Linked DNA regions of Cricetulus griseus. The protein of the gene in region 3 binds, or shares a complex with, the protein of the main gene of each other region. Links are inferred from orthologs where the notes say so. Each region holds a gene or a part of one and is shown on either strand. Other genes may lie near its edges.

Region 1 (4,100 bases), on a different chromosome or scaffold from region 3:
AGCAAGGTTGACAAAAGAGTATACTAAAAGTTTTAATTTTATAGGAAATGAGCATATCTTCTAAAGATGTCACCCCACAGTACGCAGCCTGGGCTCTGGGAAAGATGGTGCATGTTTGTGATCATGGTCCTCAGTACCTGAGGGCAGGGTGCTGCAGCTGCTGCAGGAATGCTGAAAGACTCAGGAGGCTGAACATGTCTACCCTGCAGAACTCACAGAGTCACCATTACAGTGACTGTGAGGATACAGAGTGCAGACCCTGGTGCTGGCAGACTTTCAAGTGACATGGCTGAACTACAAAACCAACGCAATATAAACTAATACTTCTCTTATACCAGCTTACATCCCAGGGCTTGGAGGCAGGCCACCCTGCCCAGCACCATGCAGGCCAAACCCTTTCCTGCCACCAGCAGAATGAGAGCTGGTGTAAAGGTGTTGCCATGCAACAAAGACCTCGGGGCATTTATTTCTGCTTCACACATCTTGCCCAGGAACCACAGGGCCACCAGGTAACATGCAGGTTCTACTCCAAGAGGGTCCTCAGCAGTACCTAGGTCTGAGGATGAATGGTCACAGAAGCCTCTGGCCAGGTTACAGGGCAGGACAGGCACCACTTTAGTTCAAAAGGCAGGCAGGAAACAGTAAGCTGCTGGAAGCTGGGGGGCAAGGACCTGATCCTACCTGAAACCCTGAGGGGAACACTGGACCTCTCTGAGCCCAAGGCCCAGCTGGAGAGGCTAAGCACACTGCTGAAACCCAACGACAGGCCCACAGGTGATAGAAGAAAAGTAAGAGACCAGAGGAAGAGCAGTGTGTCACTGAGGTCCCACCAAGAATCTACAGGCTCCAGTCTACATTATGCACAACTAACATGACATGGTAGCCTCAAACATCCTGGAAGCTGGCTGACACACATACCAGAGCCATGCCTGACCAAGCTCCAGAGTGGAGAAAGGGCAGCCTCAAACCACAGCTGCCAGTCTAAATAGTAACAAGACAAGGAAGCACACACAGTTCCGGAGAACAGTATCACCCCACATACCCACAAAGCTGTCCCTGAACTTGGCACATCCCACAGCTATTTACCCCATGTTGTGGATGAAACACAGAGAGATCACACATGAGCCCAGGATCATATTCATGGCCATAGCCACCGTTCTTCCAAAGATCATGCTGCCCCAGGACTCAAAGATGTTGGCTCCATTCTATAGCAGTGGGCCTAGTGTCCTGCATGCCAACTACAGTGGGGTGGGCTCCTGTACACTCCTGTTTATAATGAACAAATGCTCTCTGACTCTGGAAATGACAAAGCAGAAACAGTGAGGGAAAATCTTGGTGTCATCTTGCTGACACCCTGGCTCACAGGGTTCACCTTCCTGAATACTAGAAAACTCCTTCCCTTTTCCTTCCTAGAAAGCTTATTTGTCCTAACCAATCACAAACTCATCAGAACAAGGGTGATGGCCCTGGGCCTGGAAAGGTTTGACAGGCAAGGCCAAGATGCAGGCGGTCCTCCTTATCTCTGAAAATCAATGAGCTGGGCCTGCCTTCCCTACCCCACATGAAATTCTGGCCTATAACCCTGATGGTTTGGGTGCAGAGTAGCTTCCCACAAACACACACACAATATATAGAATGCCTTCAGGGAGTTACAGCTCTGAAATAGTGCAGTCTTGGGGGAGGGGTACCTACCACCGGCCCAGAATGCAGGGCAGGCCTGGAGGCCCATACCCTGCCACACCCTGAAACAGGCTGACAGACTCTGCGAAACGGCCTTGTGTGATAAGAGGCGCAGTAGGCCATCACAGGGCGCCTCCCTCCTTCCCTCGTGCCCACAGTTCCGTATTTCCTGCTGGCAGCACACACTGCAAGGATCTTTCAGGCTATGAGGAAGACGGCAGTGAGTGTCCTTGTGAGGGCAGAGATGGGTTCAGGCAGGCCCTTTTATTATTAAGGTAGAAGAGACAGAGAGGGGGACACCATGGGGCGCTAGGACGGTGGGCAAAAGCTCCTCTGGGCTCTGCAACCTCTGGGCCGCCCCGCCCGAAGGTGGGGTCGGTCCCACTGCGCGTGCGCCAGGCTACGCAGCCAGCGAACGCCGCCAAGACTGCCCTCCACCAGCAGGACTCCTGCGGTTTAAGGACTTTCACAAATGAATAAAAAACTTAAATGGTCCAAGGCCAGGGGCCAAGCTGAGCATCACTAAGTCGCCTGGAGGCGTGATGGGCGTGTATGCCACCCATGTTCCCTCAATGCCACCTCTAGAGAACTGCTCCCGGATCCGCCAACCCGAGGCCCAGGCGGGATTCGCAGGCTCGTCACTCCGGGAACACCTAGGTCCCGCCCGGATGGCCACGGGAAGGAGCCTCGTGGGGCCATAGGCCAAGAAGACGGGCCCAGCTCGGTCACAGCCTGGGTCGAAGCACCACAGGCCTCTTTGTCACCTGCACGGGTCGCGAGCGGGTAGGGGAAAATAGGGACGCGCACTCATGTGCAGCAGTTCGCGCATGCGCCCCGCCCTGTGGCCGCACCGGCCCCCCCCAACCCCGGCGCGCTCACCGAGCGCGCACGCGCACTCGCACACAAAGCCAGCGCCGCGCGCGCCCGGCCGCCCCCCCCGCCCCCCGCCGCAGCCGGAAATGCGCGCGCGCGGCGGCCTTACCGAGCGGCAGGCCCTTGTTGAGCAAGTGCGAGCTGCCCATTGAAAGGCGCGGGTGGCCGCGGCGCCCGATGAGTGTGGCGGTCTCCGCCGCCGCGAGGCCTACGCCTGGGGCGGCTTCGGCGCAGTCTGCTGCTCCGCCCGGCCGCCTGCGCCCGGCCGCCGCGTGCCGAGCCGCCACCGCGCGCCGCCAGCCGCGCTCCGACCGACGAGCGGGCGGGGACACGCGCGCGCGCGCGCGGGCGGGGCCTCGGTTGGTCTGCTGTTTGCCGGCAAGGCGGCACGCTGGACGTACGCGGGCGGCTCAGGGGCCGCGCTGCCCGCCGGCCCGGCGCTCGGCCCCCACCACTCGCGCCCCTCCCAGGCTGGATCCTCTTCCTGGACACGCCCCCAGATGTTCCCGCCCCGGGCCGCCCCTCCCCTCCCCTCCCCTGCGCGTACCCGGGACTGCGCCTCTGCCACTCCTTGGCGCGGTGACCCGGGCCGGAGCCCGCGTGGTGGAGCAGCCCATCCGCGTGGGGCGCTACCGGGCTGGTCGCCGCGGCCTCGAGCGGATAGCGAGAGGGGCGCACCCGGCCTGAGCACGGCCGGAGCCGGGGCCGCGGACCCAGGACCCAGGAGCTGGACAGCGCCCTAGCCTGGGAAGGTGATCTGAGTGGGAGGCTGGCTGTTTCTGGAACTGTCAGGCAGGCGTGGCAAGTGATACCACTTAGCGGTTCAAAAAAAAAATTTTTTCACGAAAACAGCCCAAACTGGAGGGTGCTGAAGGCCATTTTGTTACCTACATGCTGTGAAAATCAAATCTTGAGAAAAGTGGGCAGATCGAGTGACTGATGACAAGGGTCTGGGCGTCTGTTTACAGAGCAAATGCTTTGAAAATACCTTCCAATTCGATCCATTAGCTGGCATGGATAGAGAAAAGGATCTAACAGGTGGAGTTTCAAACCTGCTACGGTACTTCCTAAACAGACTAAGGGCTGGGGTAAGACCAGCAGACATACACCTCCCCTTAGCCCTCACCCCCATCCGGAACTGCCTCTGGACTGCCTCTCCCGCTCCGTTCCAGTTTTCTCAGGCAGCAGGTAACTCCCTAGAGATCGTCCAAAGGGCTCCTCCCAGTTCTTCCATCCTAGCATGGCAACTCCATGGCAGCCTGACACCTCCCATTTCAGTCTACCCAATTCTCATTTTTCTTGCACAGTGCGACCAGGGCCACCACATCGGGAGACTGTATCAGGGCTTGTTTGAAACCCGTTAGGGCCTCCCATTGCGCTAGAGGAAGCCCAGGTTTCTTGTCCCCATCACGTTGACTTGGACCCTTGTGCCTGCTGTAGGACTACCGGGCTGTCATCCTCCTACTCCAGAAATAGCCCCTTGCCGGCAGGAGTCGACTCCTGAGTATTTGAAGTGGAGAGCTGCTGGGTAGGGATATGGAAATGGA
Region 2 (3,646 bases), on a different chromosome or scaffold from region 3:
GTACAGTGAACCATCCTGGTAGCACTTTCCAAAAGCCAAGCTTCTTGAGAGACTGGGGAAGGAGTTCTGACCTATGTAGTCTGATACTGCCAGACGCTCAACCCATGTTCTTAGACTCTGGCCGTTTTGCACGCTCCCTTAGTAAAAAGAAGGCAGGGTGGCATCAGAACCTCACATACCTCAGCTGCTCATCTGGTTAGCAAGCAGTGCTCTGTAGCTGATTGACAGGATGAATACATCAACAACTGTGTGATGTCACTGTCACCTCACCTTCTGTGACAGCAGCCACCTCCAGGGACCTCACCTGGACCTACTGGGGATAGTGAGGCTTTCTTTTCTTTTCTTTTTTTCCGAGATAGGGTTTCTCTGTGGCTTTGGAGGCTGTCCTGGAACAACTAGCTCTTGTAGACCAGGCTGGTCTCAAACTCACAGAGATCCACCTGCCTCTGCCTCCCTAGTGCTGGGATTAAAGGTGTGCGCTACCAACACCCGGCTGAGGCTTTGTTTTCTTATAGGACCAACCTGTCAGTTACCTGAGCCATGGGCCAGTGAGGACTTGGGGTGTACCCTGCTGCTCACTACCTTGCCATTGCCAGTATGAAAGGATTTTAGAACTTGGGGCACGACCACTCAGGCAGGTGGCAGGTGAATGCTGGGAATGCTATAATATCAGGGTCTGGCTGCCATTCAGTCAGATTCCCTTTCAACACAGCTTGTTCCCGTAAGACCAGGACAAAGACATTCTCTCTACTCTGGGCTCACTGTCTGCCCTGACTGCCAGTATGGTGTGAGGATGTCTCTGCATGCAGTGAGAGGGTGCCAGAGGGAGATGGACACAGCTCTCGGGTCTGTGTATGTTCACATGTGAAATCATAGGACAACTTGCAGGGGTCAGTTCTCTCCTGCACTGTGGGAGTCAGTTACCCTGAAGCCATGCGGCTTGGTGGCAAGTGCCTTTACCCATTGAGCCATCTCACTGGACCAGAGTTTTACTTTATGGGGCAATTCAAGTGAGCTATACAATTGCCCCTCTGGGTCTTAGAGCGAAGTGAGTTCATACCAGAACTCTGCACTTACCCTCCAGTGATCTAGGAACATCACTACCCCTCACTCCCTGCTGCCGCCCCCCCCCCCCCCGTTAGCTGGTAAAGCTGTGTCATGTCCTTGGCTCCACCAGACTTGTGTGCTCTCTGCTTGCCTTGGCATCAGCCACTGAGGACACCCTCCCTACAGTGTACTTACCACACATTTCTTCTCCTTATAGGTATCCGCCCTCAGATCATGAACGGCCCCCTGCATCCCCGCCCCCTAGTGGCACTGCTCGACGGCAGAGACTGTACCGTGGAAATGCCCATCCTGAAGGATCTGGCCACTGTGGCCTTCTGTGATGCACAGTCTACTCAGGAAATCCATGAAAAGGTGGGTTGCACCCCACCTTACCTGGGCCCCTCCAGGCCAGCTGATGTCAGTAAGCACAGTAGTCACACACAGGAATGCCTAAAGTGTATGGAATTCCCGATGTCCTTAGCCTACTCTGCCACCCTCAGGCACTTACTCCATGTCTCCATCCTATAATTTCTGCTAACAAAGTCTCAGAGCCTTGTGTTCCCAGGGGTTCTGACCTGTGACTCATGTCCCTGCCCACAGGTGTTGAATGAGGCTGTGGGTGCCATGATGTACCACACTATCACCCTCACCAGGGAAGACCTGGAGAAGTTCAAGGCTCTTCGTGTGATCGTGAGAATTGGCAGTGGCTATGACAACGTGGACATCAAGGCTGCTGGTGAGCTCGGTGAGTCGAAAGGCCATGCTGGCTGCCTGGAGGCCACACTCAGTAATGGGCAGAACGCAGAAGGCAGGGCAGTTGTCCTAGGGAGTCTTGTTTCCATTTTCCCATGCACCTTTGCCCAGCCTCAGCTCGAAGCAGGTTCAGGGGCTGGAAGATCTTGAGATAAGCAGTAGATTAGTGAGTTCTTCATTGAGCACACCAAAAGAAGCTGGCCACCACCTGCTGTCCATTCCCAGGGTGCTTCTCAGAGAAAACCACAGGCGGGTAGAAAGCTAAGCAGGAAGGTAGAGTACCTGAGTGGCACAGGGGACTCCTGCCCACACCCCCATGAGAATTGGTGTACACTGGCAGCAGAGCCTGGGGGGGTCAGTGGGGAGTGCCTCAGAGCCACGTATTTTGTCTGAATAAAGTGTGCCGCCTCTTTATTCATGAGCCTCATGCATTTGAAATACCTCAGAATAACTAGAAACCCATGTACCGATGGTGCCACAGCAGCCTGAGCATAGTAATGCTCGTACCATCAGCCTGGGCCTACCACCTGCTGCTGCCTCACCCCAAGGGCTCCTGGAACTAACTCCTAGGACAGCAAAGCCAGGTGTGCGCAGTGCCTCACAGTCATCTCTGCACCGGGCCTAACGCTAGACTCGACAGCTCTGTCTATAACCCAGACACACCCGCCATGCTGGCCACTGAAGCAGCACTGGATCCAACTTCCCTTCACAGTCTGAGCCTGCAGCTTTGAGAGGGGTGGGTGCCTGTTTTTAGTTTTCTGTTTCTTTGCATTTAGAGCAGCAGTTACTATGAGCCTGAACCCCAGGATAAGAAAAGGACAAAGGAAGCTGTGCCGGGTGGCACCAGCCAATGCCCACAGTATGTCTGTGGGGCAACCTCACAGGGGAAGGTAGACATCTCATGTAAAGCAGAATCAGTCCTATTCAGCCCGGGCTTTTGAGAGTCCTGGGTAATCATGGCTTCCTATGTCCCTACCCTAAGCAGCCTTGTTCTTTTCCAGTTACAGCCCCTCTGAGCCCCTCTTTGGCAACAGAAGAAACTTGTTGTGATTGATGTGAGGCCACGTACCTGAGTTTAATTGAGAAAACTACCTGGTGCGGTGTTATACACCTGTTATCCAGGGAGGTCTCTTGAGTTTGAGGCCACCCTGGTCTGCATAGCAAGTTTGAGCCTAGCCTTAGCTACTTAGACCCTGTCTCAGAAAAAGAAAGAAAAGAAAAAAGATGTTTCCCAGACACGAGCAAGTATGCTTGTGTTTAAAAATATGTATCTGAGCCTGAAGGAAGTGGCCACACACCTTTAATCTCAGTACTCTGGGAGGCAGAGGCAGGTAGATCTCTGAGTTCAAGGCCAGCTTGGCCAATGGAGTTAATTCCAGGCCAGGGCTGTTACATAGAGAAACCCTGTCTAGAAAAAAAGCAAACAAAAGACGTGTGTCTGTCAGGAATAGAGATAAATTCCCTGAGTTGGGACTATGCAGGAAGACATTCAGCTTTCTAGCCCATTGTCTCTCACACATAGTTCCTGTTGGTAGTCAGCCCCTCTTCTCCAGTCAGAGTCCAAGAAACAGACTGCCTAGGGCCAGAGCGTTGAAAAGTGTAAAGGGGACACGAAGTGTCACTATTGTGGCCCATTGTGATTGGAGTGGCTATTCAGAAGACTTCTGCTAATGAAATAGATGGTCCTCCAGCAGTGTCTGTCATTTAGCTCTAAGTACATATGGTGCCTATCAAGTCAGCCAGCAGACCCTTTGGAGAGTAGTAAGACGAGTGGCAGGTGTGCCCTGTTCCTGGAAGGGAACACTCCACAGTGGACCTAGCAGGTAGTGATAACTGGGTCTTGTGT
Region 3 (3,577 bases):
TCTGCTTCCTCCTAACTCCTTTGCCACAAAAAAAGGCCCAGAGGAAAAGATGACTTGCTAGAGGCCATACACACACTGAATCCTACTTCTCTGGGGCACAAGGCAATATTTCCCAACGTGCCTGAAGAGCTTAGGTCTCTAAACAGTAATAAATTAGAGCTCTTTACAAGCAAGAGTTTAGGCCAGCCATGCCAGTTGAGAAATATAAATTTTACAAATGACAGAATACTGCAACCAATTAGTGCAAACAAACATTTATTGTGAAATATTCATCCTACCCTTTATTAGGTATTACATCATCAAAGCACTTTGTGGCAATGAAAATAGCTTTTACCCCTCTGATTGACCCAATATTTCATTAAAGCTGCAAAAAAATGTGCAATCTGCTTGAAAAATAGGTTGCTCTTATTTACTCATTTGTGAAAAGTCAAAAATTAAAAAAGAAAATGGTTCTAGCTAATTTGCCTTTCTGCCTCCCACCTGTGCCCCAAAATAATTAACAAAGATATTTTGTTTTAGATGACTTTTTAAAAAACCAATGTACCTTTCCCCATGTCATAATCATAAAAATGTTTTAAAAGCCTTTATTTACTTTCTTGGGAAAAAGGTGGCCAGCCGTTGTTTTTTAATTGGGAGCATGTGTATTTCCTGGGAGTTCACTTTCTTTAACTTTATGCTCCGGTTTTTGATGGGTTTCCTAAGGGGCTCGGCATTTCCCAGGGATTCTTCTCCTTGGCTGTTGATGTCATAACCCTGAAGCACAGAGTCTTCTCTTTTGAAGGAGAAGTTTTTGGTGGATACCCCTGAGAGGCCTTTAATCTTGCCACAGAAGATGGTAGGCACAGTGTCGTCAACTGAGACAATGACCTTGGCTGCCTGGGACTCACTTATAATCTCAATGTTATTTTCAGCCTTCACCCCACTGCCCGGCTGGCTGGGCTGGCTGGGCTGGTTGACCATTTCAGTGCCATTGTTGCCGCTGATATGGCTATCCATCATGGCCGAGGCCTCACGAGACTTGGCAGGGGCAAAGGGCATTTCCATAGCACTGGGAAGTTTCTCCAGCACAGTGTGACCCTGGCTGTCTGCTGACCCACTGCTGTCATACGGTGTCTCTGGGGGAGCCTCGGCCTTTCGGTGGGCTGCCAGAGATAGGTCTAGGGCTGCATCCTCTTGGAAGATTGGGGAGCTAGCTTCGCCAGCTTTGCTCCAGGGCACTGACTTCATGGAGAGATCCAGGGCCTCATTCTCATTCCCCATCTTGATAACTGTGTGGCGGCTGAGCTGGAAATACTCCTTTGGCTGGAGGATGTCTAAGGATTTCAGTTCATCTTTTTCCAGGGTAGTCTGGGTGCCTTTAAAGGAGTGCAGATTGAAGGAAGATGGTGGCTTGGAGAAACTGGGGCCGAACTTGGATTCAGAACTCTGAGGCACTGGGACAGGGATGGGGATGGGCACTGGCACTGGCAAGGGGACAATCACAGGATAGGGCACCAAGAGGGTAGCTGGTGGGACTAGGGGGGACAAGGGAGAATTAAAGGGCTGCGGAGGCACTGGAGCATAGCCAGGAGGAGGCTGGCAAGGTGGAGGGCCCAGAGAGCCTTGGGTGGGGAATAAATTCTGGAGCACAGCTTCAAATGGCAATGTGGGCTCCTGCGGCTGGCTTGGGATCCTCAGGTCCAGAAGTTGAGGCTGGGCCTCGGAGTCCTCGGCCCCCTGGAAGAGGTTGTTGTGTATAGCATTTGAGGAGCATGGGGCCTCCTGTGGCAGGACCAGAGGGGAGTTGAGGTGCTGGAAAACATGCTGCTCCAGCACCACTGGCAGCTGCACGGGACCTTGTGTCGTCATAACATAGGTGGCATTGCTGTTGGGGTTAAGCTCTGGTGCAGAGCTTCCCTCCACCTGCATGTGAATGGGCATCACCACTGGGCTTTCCCCAAGGCACAGGGGCTGCAGCACTGTGGCTGCCACCTTCAGAGCCATTCCACTCTGAGACTCAGCTGGGGGGTTCAGAATGGATGGAGCCGGCACGGTCACCAGGGCCTTCTTTACCAGATCAGTGGAATTGATGTTCCAGGCCTCAGTAGTTATCAGCTGGGCCATACCATTCTCCAGTCTGTTATTGGCCAAAGTGGGAGGGGAGTCAGTCATGTCCATGGAGAGGTTCTGGGACTGCAGGTCATCCATCACTTTTCTCTGGTGCCACGTGGCCTGCAACACAGAGCACACGATAAGAATCTTTCTTAAGAGACTATTTATAATTGCCTTATAAGATATCTCCAGTCTCAAAATAGTTTCCATAGCTTAGTGAACTGGGCAGCACAACCCAGCTCCCTGTGTATACATACCCATTATAGATATTTCCTAATATACACGAACACGCACATATGATCAGCTGTGCTTATAAAACCCAATTTACAGGTGATTAAGTTATAAACACACATGATGTAATCTCTAAATAGCCAGGTGATGTTAAACAGGGTATTTTAAAGCCTAATACTCAGCTTATATTTTGATCTTTCAACAAAAACAAAGTTTTCGTTCCACAATGCTCTGTCAGACAGTTAGGAAATGCAGAGATTAAATCTAACGAGTTCAAATTTGAAAAGGCAATAAGTAGACTTACTTCCCCTTACGGAAATATAAAACCTTGTCACATCTGAATATTCTATGACTATAGTATGACACACTAAAAACTCTTTGTAGATATAATCAGGAGATTATATTAAAATTATGGGAAATTTCAGAAAGCATTTCAAAAGCTCTGTAGAAATCATTTTTCTAATAGGTTTGGAGTTTGAAAGAGCAGTATATTTACCCAAGGCTCATCATACTTGTCTCGCTATCTCCCTCTAGCCAATCACATTCCCTTTGCTCTGATAACAAGAAACCCCACTCCTCAGGGCAAAGAGAAGATGAAATGGCTTTTATGAATGGTCATTGAGCCTATCAGGTTCACATGTCCATCTTTCTGACCTTTGGTCTCTCCCAGCATGTAATTACCAAGAGAAAGGAGTGCTGAGAAATGAAATATCTGTTGGAAAAAAATTCTCAAAAGTGAAAGACATGGTCTTGATGTCTTAGATACCTCCTGAACACTGACAGCCACTTCCTAGGGGGCAAAGAAGCCCAGAGAGGATGCTTCCTGGAGGAAGCAGGGCTGCAGCTGCAGTATGTCTCTCCGTGGAAACGTGTCCATATTTAGCTTCGTTACCATGGAGAAGGCAGGCACCATGTCTAACTCAGGGATCTGTGCAGCCCTGGAGTGTGATTGGGCTTAATAATAATTCAATAACCCTTAATTTCACTGGGCGAGCCTGAGGCAAAACAGATTCTTGACCTCACCGGTCCTACCTATGTAGACTTTAGTCCTGTGGTTATCATGTCTTTTTCTTCTCACCCTAAACTGTCATCACAAGGTCTCAAATAAGAGAGAGAGGTAATCCAGCACATCGTGGTGTTAGAAATACAGTCTTATAACAGGAATGCTGCTTTAACAAATGAACAATTCCATGGCATTTTCAAGCCATCAAAACATGTCAAATGCACAGAATAAGGAGTTGCTTTGAGGAAGGAG

What was found.
Region 1: the proteins of Rai2 (region 3) and Ctbp1 are in contact, whole or in part, in a cryo-EM structure (PDB 8ARI), measured with the Homo sapiens proteins. The link is inferred for Cricetulus griseus from reciprocal best matches to the Homo sapiens genes RAI2 and CTBP1. Residues at the interface, in NP_001166210.2 of Homo sapiens: Glu315, Ala316, Leu317, Asp318, Leu319, Ser320, Met321, Lys322, Trp326; in NP_001319.1 of Homo sapiens: Arg36, Cys38, Met42, Val51, Ala52, Phe53, Cys54, Asp55, Gln57, Gln60, Glu61, His63, Val66.
Region 2: the proteins of Rai2 (region 3) and Ctbp2 are in contact, whole or in part, in a crystal structure (PDB 8ATI), measured with the Homo sapiens proteins. The link is inferred for Cricetulus griseus from reciprocal best matches to the Homo sapiens genes RAI2 and CTBP2. Residues at the interface, in NP_001166210.2 of Homo sapiens: Glu315, Ala316, Leu317, Asp318, Leu319, Ser320, Met321; in NP_001077383.1 of Homo sapiens: Leu35, Arg42, Cys44, Met48, Val57, Ala58, Phe59, Cys60, Asp61, Glu67, Ile68, His69, Lys71, Val72.

What each region holds. Positions count from the first base shown.
Region 1 is NW_023276807.1:102,317,172-102,321,271, forward strand, and holds the start of Ctbp1 (C-terminal-binding protein 1), read right to left. Parts: upstream 2,893-4,100; 5' UTR 2,703-2,892; coding exon 2,663-2,702; intron 1-2,662. UniProt on the Homo sapiens protein: Corepressor targeting diverse transcription regulators such as GLIS2 or BCL6. Has dehydrogenase activity. Involved in controlling the equilibrium between tubular and stacked structures in the Golgi complex.
Region 2 is NC_048596.1:67,839,043-67,842,688, forward strand, and holds part of Ctbp2 (C-terminal-binding protein 2), read left to right. Parts: intron 1-1,264; coding exon 1,265-1,419; intron 1,420-1,647; coding exon 1,648-1,792; intron 1,793-3,646. UniProt on the Homo sapiens protein: Corepressor targeting diverse transcription regulators. Functions in brown adipose tissue (BAT) differentiation. Isoform 2 probably acts as a scaffold for specialized synapses.
Region 3 is NC_048604.1:96,682,461-96,686,037, reverse strand, and holds Rai2 (retinoic acid-induced protein 2), read right to left. Parts: upstream 2,188-3,577; coding exon 589-2,187; downstream 1-588.